2 linked regions of the Macaca mulatta genome follow. The protein of the gene in region 1 interacts with the protein of each later gene in a pairwise test. Links are inferred from orthologs where the notes say so. Each region holds a gene or a part of one and is shown on either strand. Other genes may lie near its edges. The genes, in order: PCBD1 and TFF3.

The links.
Region 2: the proteins of PCBD1 (region 1) and TFF3 interact in binary tests that used the Homo sapiens proteins (3 or more experiments, as listed by UniProt). The two-hybrid records come from large-scale screens. The link is inferred for Macaca mulatta from reciprocal best matches to the Homo sapiens genes PCBD1 and TFF3.

What each region holds. Positions count from the first base shown.
Region 1 is NC_133414.1:78,748,400-78,752,918, reverse strand, and holds the start of PCBD1 (pterin-4-alpha-carbinolamine dehydratase), read right to left. Parts: upstream 2,887-4,519; 5' UTR 2,862-2,886; coding exon 2,859-2,861; intron 2,547-2,858; exon of another isoform or gene 2,177-2,546; intron 226-2,176; coding exon 94-225; intron 1-93. UniProt on the Homo sapiens protein: Involved in tetrahydrobiopterin biosynthesis. Seems to both prevent the formation of 7-pterins and accelerate the formation of quinonoid-BH2. Coactivator for HNF1A-dependent transcription.
Region 2 is NC_133408.1:5,175,397-5,179,920, reverse strand, and holds the start of TFF3 (trefoil factor 3), read right to left. Parts: upstream 3,095-4,524; 5' UTR 3,080-3,094; coding exon 2,851-3,079; intron 1,035-2,850; coding exon 885-1,034; intron 1-884. UniProt on the Homo sapiens protein: Involved in the maintenance and repair of the intestinal mucosa. Promotes the mobility of epithelial cells in healing processes (motogen).

The sequences.
Region 1 (4,519 bases):
TGGCTAACGAGACGTGAAGGGACAGAACATGCTTTGTAAGGTGACCCCATCAGCCTCAGTCTCAGAAAACTCTGTCCCGCCCTGGTGCCATACCCTGTTGAAGTCTTTGAAATGAAACTGCTTGAAGATGGCATCGCGGCCTTCCAGCTCATTCCACCCCACGGCCCTCAGGTTTGGCAGCAGCTGGTCCCTCTCCTCAGCACTCAGCCTGTGTGCTTTGCCAGCCTAGAAGAGGGGAAAAAACGAGGCCCAAGAGCATTTCTTTTTATAGGTCAAAACAGGGGCTCCAGCCTTTAGGGGAACTTAGCCAGCCTCCACTGGCTGCTTTGGACGTGGGTGACCAAGGGCAGCAGGTCTTTGAGCAATAAGCTGGAAGCCCTCAAGGGTGGCACTCTGCCCAGGAGGTGGGGTCCAGGCTTGTCCGCTGATAGGCTCTCAGGTCTTGGGTTTTACACTCCACACAGAGAAAGGAAATCCCAAAAGCAATGCAATTCATATGACGGGGACAGAGACACTCTTCCCCTATCCTGCCCTCAAAGCCTTACAGACCTTCCCCTCCATAAGATCTATTACATCAGTGAGGGCGTAAAAGCAAAATAAATCCCAGATGCAAATATATTACTCCACAACCTCTGAGGAAGAGTACCATGACTGTCCCCCCTTCCTTTTCCTATTATGTACTTTATCATATGCACCCCACGTCCCTACGGTAACTTTCATGTGTATTGAAGAGCAAACAGGCCTAGAGAGGGGAAACGACTTGTCTGCTGTTCTTTCCTGCCCTCCCCTAGCCAGGGATGGCGCAGTGTTGTCTGTGTGTCAGCATCCCTGGGGCTGGACAAAGGAGCTGCATTTAAAATAAGTGTCCAGCCCATTCTTAGCCACACTGTAGCTGACCGTGTTGGCACTACCTCTAGTAGGTCCTCAGTCATGCTCCCAGGCAGCCTCTGGTCCTGAGCCGCCAGGGCTAGGTTCTCCGGTTTTCCATCTGCTTTTCTGGCTGGTTGGGAAGCTCAGGCCACAGAACTCAGTCCCCAAAGTGGAAGGAACTTGGCCAAAGGCAGCTGGCAAACCTAGTGCCCTGTCCTATTTACCTAATGTGCAAAGTGCCCTCAACGCAGCCCAAATTGGCACAATTCAGGCCATGAGTGGAACCTCAGAGAATGCAAGGAAGCAAGGGTCAGTTTCATCCTAGGAGGATCCAGGTCTAGGACCTTAACGGATCCCAGAACCTAGGCTTCTAGAGTAGCACCACCCAAGGGCAGAAATAGAGTGCTGAATTGAAAAGAAATACTTAGGGGTGAGGAGGGAATGTGAGGGAGGTTAATTTAGCTTTTATGAGGCAGCCTGCAGACTGAACACCATGTGTTGATTGGCAGGAAGTTTGAGCCCCGCTTTCACCATTTACCAGCCAGGTGGCTGTACCTCTCTTGGCAGAACCTCTACCTCCACAGATCATCAGGAGGTGCCAATGGGACACTTTAGGAAACTCCACTGCTATAAAGCAAATGTCATCTGCATTACAAAAAAATACCTCCTAAGGCAAGTAGGCTTGTGATGGGCCTGGTAGCATTTGTGGTAGCTGAAGCATCGCAGTGCTTTCCTAAGTCCGTCTTTTTTCCCTCCTGTTTCCCTCCTGAAAACGTGAGCTCTCTCCGGACTGAGGGAGCTTGGCCCCTCTCCTCTCCTCGGCTCTAGATGGCTACAGGGATTGAATGGCAGCAGCGATTTGCATCATCTGCCCAGTAGGGAGGTCTCTACTCCAGAGCTGGCCCTCTCCCCGTGGCTGACTGCCTGGTCCGTGTATCCAGACAACCAGAAGTCAGCCAAAGCATCAGAGCCCACTGTTTACTTCCTTGGCTCTTAAAGGGATGGGTGAGTCCAGGTGAGCTCTTAGGAGGCTTCCCTTTCTCGGTAGAGCCTTCTGGAACCCCCCAAGTCGCAGAGCCTGGGGCTGAACTGACAAATCTTCCAGGTGCCGGCTCTGGAGAGGGGGACGGTGCCCTGTTTGCTTAGTAAATCCCCGCCAGGTCTTGCCTCCTCTGGCGAGGTGTGGGGAGTGGTCGCCGATTTCCCAAGCCTGCATCTCTGGGGGCCTCAGCGCCCCTCACAAACAGCCCCACTCATCCTCCCTCCCCCAAGTCCCTCTCCCATCAAAAGGCCCTCCCAGTCTTGCCTGCTCCGAAGGCCTGTGGGCCAGAAACGGTCTGATGAAGCGCCCGAGCTTACAGCAGAGCAAGGGGCCCGCCCCCGCCCCGGGGGTAGGTGGGGGAAGCTAGCCCGGGAGGAGGGCTGCTCCTGCGCCACCAAGCCCCCGCGGCCGGGCACCGGCCTCAAACCGGCGCGGAGGCTGGCTCTGGAGCCCGGGACCGCACATGGGCTCAGAGCGTGAGTCCCAGGCGGACAGACCCTGTATCCAGAGTGCGAGCGGGAAGGGGCGCGGACGGGTACGCACAGGAGCGCGCAAACTCAGCCTGCCTCTCGCTCCCACCCCAGTATAAAGCCGAATCGGGCCACTAAGGGGACGAGATCTGCGAACTCTCCCACCACGGTCCTCCCCGGCCCTGTAAGGTCGTAGGCCCCGCCCCCAGCAGGGTCCGGGAACAAGCACTGGCCTGGGTCAGGGCAGGCCTGGCCTCCCAACTGGCTGGGACCGGGACCCGCCATGCCCCTCTCAGGGCCTCAGCTTCCCCTCCCCGCCGCCGGCGACAGGGACCCGGGCAGAGACCCCACTCTCGGACCCCGGCGGCTCCGCAGGAGGCTCGAAAAGACCCTCCCCCGCCCCGTCCCGCTCCCACCTCGCCCGCTGCTGCCCCGGCCCCGCTGCCCCGATCGCGGCGGCGCACCCCTGGACTCACCATGGCGCGGGCGGCAGCAGGTGGCCGGCGGAGAGGGCAGGCGGCGGCCGGGCGCGCAGGCGGCCGTCCCGGGGCGGGGCCGCGCTCGGACCGCCCTCCGGTAATGATTAACGTCCCCAGCCAGGGACGCGCTCGGCCTGCTTCCTTCCAGCACTTTCCTCGCTGCTCAGAGCCAATCCTCCGAGCTTGTTTCAGGGAGCTAGGGTGAAGCATGAGGGCTCCAAATGCCCACTTCAGGGTTGGAATCCCAGCCCGCCGCTTACAGCTGGGTGGCCCTGGGCGCCAGAATAACTATTTATTTCTTTATAAAAATCTTTTATTTGGATAGAATTGACATGCAATAAGTTGCACATATTCAACGTGTACAATTTGATGAATTTTAATGTTTCCCTCGTGAGACCGACACTGAGATCAAGATTATGAACATATCAAGTTTCCTTGATGACTAATGATATTGAATATCTTTTCATGTACTTATTTGCTAAGGATAAGTCTTTTTTGGTGAATAGCATGTTTGAATTTCCTGCCCATTAAAAAAGAAATTGGGTTGTTTGTTTTCTTACCGAGTTTTGAGGGTGTTTTTTTCTGGATATAAGGACATGATCAGGCAGTGCTTTTCAAATATTTTCTTTGAATTATCTTACGCTGCCTTTCAAAGAGCAAACGTTCTTAATTTTGATGAAATCCAATTTATCAAATGCTTCTTTGATAGATTTCTATTTTGATGTTGTACGCATAGAAATCTTGGCCTAACACGAGATCACAAAAGTTTTCTCCTATGTTTTAGAGCTTTGGGTTTTACATTTAGTCTGTGATCCACATTGAGTAAATATTTTTGTATGCTTCAAGTTATAGATCCAGATTCACTTTTGCACATGGAGATTCAGTTATTCCTTTCTCCACTGAATTGTCTTCGCACCTTTGTAAAACATCAATTGATTATATATGTGTGGGTTTATTTCTGAGCCCTTTCTTCTGTTCCATTGATCTGTTTGTCCATCATGACAGGACGCTACCTTGTCTTGATTATTATAGCTTTATAATAAGTCTTAGAGTCAGGTTAGAAAAGTCCTCTCACATTTTACATTTTTTCTGTTACCTTTTATTCTTGTACTCCATTTTTATTCCCCCCCGCCCGCCGCCACGGCCCATAGCAGCCTCTCTAATGTGTTAATGTGTATTTTTGTTTGCACACGTTCTTGCAAAATGTGTGGTGTTGTTTCGTCTATATGTATTTTTAAATTTATGTAAATGGTATTATGTAAATATATTACATTTCTCAGTCTGTTTCTTACAAAACAGAGTATTTAGTGGAAAATTAAGATCTACCCATGTCGCTATATGTATATTCAATCTGTAGCTTTTAACTGCGGCCTAGTATTTTGTAATGAGAGTCTGCCGTGGTTTCTTGTTCTATCAGTGATGGATACTTAGGTTCCCTCCAACTTTCTGCTGCTACCACCACCTCCCAAATCCGTGAGTATGTGGGCACACACACACATACACACACAGAGTTAAACAACAATGCTGCTGCAGTGAACATCTCTAATAGCTCCCGGGGCTGTGGGCAGTTTCTTAAGTATATTCATACCCTATGAATCCAGCAATTTCCCGCATGGGTGTGTATCTCAAAATAGTTCCAGATAATGTCCAGAATGGGG
Region 2 (4,524 bases), on another chromosome or scaffold:
CTTCTCTGGACCCCCACCCCCACCCTGGACTTGCTGGGGAGGGTGGAGGGAGGCCCTGGGCAGGGCAGGGGTCTATCATTGATCAGGCAGCCAGTGCCAGCAGGACTCAGCCTCCCGTGTTTCACCCTGGGACAAAGGGCAAGAGAGGCCCCTCTGGATGCTGGTTCCAGGAAGGTACCTCACGCAGGTGCGGCCTTCGTGGGGGCTGAGCTGGCACTTGGACACGGCAGATGGCTAATAGCCGATCGCCCCACCCATGACGTGGGGCAGCTGAGCCTGGTGGAGCCAGGGCGGCAAACCCGTGTGCAGGGCCATCTGTTACCTGTACAGCACACAGGCTCTCCGCCTTTGGGGAGGGAACCCCCAGGGTGGTTGCCCTGCACCTGCCCTCCACCATGGCAGAGAGAGGGAGAGGAGATGGCCCTTGTAGGGGGCAGAGTGGGGGAAGTGGGGTGTGGCACCGAGGCCCAACACCCAGGGCTGGCACTGCCTGCCATCTGTGGAGGGGATGCCACAAATGACAAGACTCTGGTGGGGGACCGGTTTGCAAAAACAGCCTGAAAGTCAGCCTGGCTTTCCACACCTATGTGTTTCCACTTCTCTCAAGAATAGTTATTAAATTAGTTTCCTCTACATAACGCCATCATTTTGAACACCTTTTTGAAATGATTGCTTTTATGTTTTACACAAAGGAGACAAAAGAGGACAGCCCCTGGCCATGGCTGCCCTGGGCTTGAAGCCTCTGCTCTGAGGCCTTGGTGCAGGTGTGTGGCTTCCCGGGGACCTCGTGCCTCCATCTCCAGCCCAGAAAGGACAGGGAGGCCCTGAGACCCCCGGCCTTATGGGGCCAGGCCCAGACCATGATGCTGTCACTCAGGCCTTACCTCCTTGTTCCTGCAGGGGTTTGAAGCACCAAGGCACTCCAACGATGCTGGAGTCAAAGCAGCAGCCCCGGTTGTTGCACTGCTCGGGGGTGACCTGGGGGTAGCCGCAGTCCACCCTGTCCTTGGCCGGCACGGCACACTGGTTTGCAGCTGTCCCAAACAAAGCCCTGTCAGCTGCCAGAGCCCTTACTGGGCTGCGGTGAGTATGTTTGCTTCACTTTGCAAGCTTGCATCCTCCCGCTCCCACCTCGAGTTCAACCACTGCTGAAACCCTCACTCCAATGAAGACGGGCTTTCCCTGTGAATATTTGCATCCTCCTGCTGCCCCCTCCTGAGTTCAACCACTGCTGAAACCCTCACTCCTAGGAGGACGGGCTTTCCTTGTGCAAATTTGCATCCTCCCGCTCCCACCTCCTGAGTTCAACCACAGCTGAAACCCTTGCCTTTAGGAAGATGGGCTTTCCCTGTGAATATTTAAAGAGAAGCAGTCTGTTAAATGCTAAACTTGGGGACTCGGGCCATTTGCCTAAGTGTCTGTCTCCTTGGCACGCTCTTATCACCTTCTCAGGAAGTCACATACGGACCTGGGTCCCTTCCAGCTGGCAGGAACCCCTGGGGAATCCAGGGTCCCCTGAACTCGGAAACAAAGTTCCCCTTCACTGTTTGACCAACAAAACCTTGCCCCTTTGTTTTAAATGAAAAACGCGATGGGAGACACACATGCCATAGAGATCGTTGCAACGCATGCTGCCTGCTTTTCATTTTTTTCTGCATCTCCCTTCCCCGAATTGTTGAGCATGTCCCACCCTCCCTGGACATCCTTCAGTCCCCAATATTTTCATTTTTCAGGCAAGCCTCTATGTCTGTGTGTGCAGCAGAAGTTCACCTCGTTTCATTAATGAACTGGGTATTTCCTTAGGAAAATAGAAATCATGTGGTCTCTTAAATTCCCTTCTATTGCTCCCAGTCTGTAATTGCTTATCCTCACCGCGTCCAAATTTCACTCACACTGGAATCAGTTGCAGAGCTTTAGAAATGACTGACGATGGCTGGGCATGGTGGCTTATGCCTCTAATTCCAGCACTTTGGGAGGTCAAGGCAGGAGGATCACTTGAGGCCAGGAGTTTAAGACCAGCTTGGCCAACATAGCGAAACTCCGTCTCTACTAAAGATACAAAAAATTAGCTGGGCCTGGTGGTGCACGCCTGTAATCCCAGCTGCTTGAAGCCGAGGAATAAGAATTGCTTGAACCTGGGAGGTGGAGGTTGCAGTGAGCCGAGATTGTGCCACTGCACTCCAGCCTGAGTAACAAAGCGAGGCTGTCTCGAAAGAAAACAACTGAGGCCTGGCGCTCACCCGCAGATGCCCTGAGGTAACTGGTGTGCCCCAGGCATTAGGATTTTTAAAGCTCTCCAGGTGATTCTAATGGGCTGTGAGTTCAGGAACCCCTGCCTTTGACCCTGCTCAGAAGACACCCGGATAAAAGCCGTACCCTCATTCCTTCAAACTTGGGTTAATGGAGCAGCCACGCCCCCGCCGCAGGGTTGCTATGCAATGGCTAAATGAACCTTGTGCCGGTAGGTATTGAAAGTATTCTGAAGTCAGGGTTTTTCTCCCGCATCTTTCCTTTTTCTTTGTAAATGTGAAAACAATGCATAAAGACCTATACTGTAATTTAGAAATCTCCGGCAAAGATGGCTACGGGGTCATAGGGGATGGGCTCAGGCTCAAAGCCTGATTTCAACAGACTGGGCAGAGCTGCCTTAGATAAGTTGTTAACTTTCTCTGAGCCTCGGTTTCCTTGTCTGTGAAATGGGGACAATAAACACCCACTTCATAGGATAGCGCAGGAAAAAGTGTATATGTGACAGGTGGCCATTATTACATGAATGCAGAATCCCCCCTTATCCTGGATCCCTCTCCTTCCCGCCCACCCTGCTACCGGGGCAGTCAGAGCGGTACTCACACAGGCCCACGTACTCAGCAGAGCTGGAGGACACCAAGGCCAGGACCAGTCCCAGCACACAGAGAGCTCTGGCCGCCATGACTACCGTGGGCTCCGGGATGCAGCTCAGGACACACTTCATGGTCCAGGAGGCCTCATTTATGCCCCGGTGTTTGCACAGCCGCTCTGGATTGTTTGCTTGGGGAGGGCTCTCCCTCCTGGCTCTGGCTGCTCCCGGACTCTCCCGCATGCCTTTGTCAAGCTCCCAGACAGTTCTTCTCTCTCAAAGGGGAGAGGTCAGTTCAGCCTCCACTGTTTTGGCAGCAAGCGGTGAGGGCGGATTCCAGTTCTGGTTACGGGTCCTCTGCTGGGGAGCAGATGTGTGTTAATCACCCTCCTAGCCTGGCCTGGTGCAGGGTGTGGGAGCCACGTGGGGCTGCAGAACCAGCGCACGGTGTCCATCTCAGCCTCCCAGCCAGGAGCCCTCAGAACACCCCTGGTCCCACGACAAGAGAGCCCCAGCCTGCTCCATCCCAGATCAGCCTTGGAGACGGCACTCTGAGTGAGTCAGGACCCTACAGCTCTCTCACAACTCCTGAAACACAGAGATTTCTCGTCTTTCTTTTTTGCTTTCTCCCCTAAAAATTATTAACTACATTTTAATAAGTGGATGAAATGAATTGATTGAAAATATGTTAATAAAAACATGGCACACGTAATTGATTTTTAAAATCAAATAATACAAAACAGCCTCTCCTATTCAGAGGCATCTATTGTGAACTTTCTTAGGTATCCTTCCAGAGATTTTCTCTCTGGATCTAAGCACTTTTTTTGAGGGGGGTGCGGGGGGAGACAGGGTCTTGCTCTGTTACCCAGGCTGGAGTGCAGTGGTGCAATCTCAACTCACTGAGACCCCCGCCCCCGCGGGGCTCAAGTGATCCTCCCACCTCAGCCTCCTAAGTAGCTGGGCCACAGGCATGTGTCCAGCTCATTTTTTGTATTTTTTTAGAGACCGGCTGTCGCCACGTTGGCCAGGCTGGTCTCAAACTCCTGGAGTGAAGTGATCTGCCTTCCTTGGCCTCCCAAAGTGTCAGGGTTACAGGCGTGAGCCACTGCACCCGGCCACATTCTTAACACAAACAGGAACTGACTCTCCACCTTTGCCCGGTGTGCTCTTTTAGAAACTAAAGACTACATCTGAAGAATTGTTTTATAACAACATATCAGATGAGACAGCGATGATTATATCCATTTTCCAGAGGAAGAAACTAAGACTCAACATTTCTGGTGCCTGCCGGAGGTTATTCCAGTATCCCTGGTATAGCCAGTATTTAACGCAGGTCCATTTAACCCAGGACCCTAAGCTTCCGCCCTTGGCATCCACAGCACCCCCTAACCCCCTAACCTCCTGCAGTGCACTGGCTGGTTGTGGGCAAGAGACTAATCTCATTCCAGGAAAACGGGTTCCTAGATTTTGTGTTCTCCGTGTTTCTTTTCCAGGGAGGCATTTTGATGACCCCCACTGACCCTTCCAGGAGCCTCTGTCTGAAGGGTGGACTTGGTTTATTACCCCGAGAAATGGGAGCGCCTGGCCGCTCAGATTTAGCCTCCAACTGGGGTCCCTGGTGGTGTGTGCAGGGCGGCTCTGCACTGCCAAGGGTGCGTCCACAAACTACCCTTCCCTGAGTGACCCAT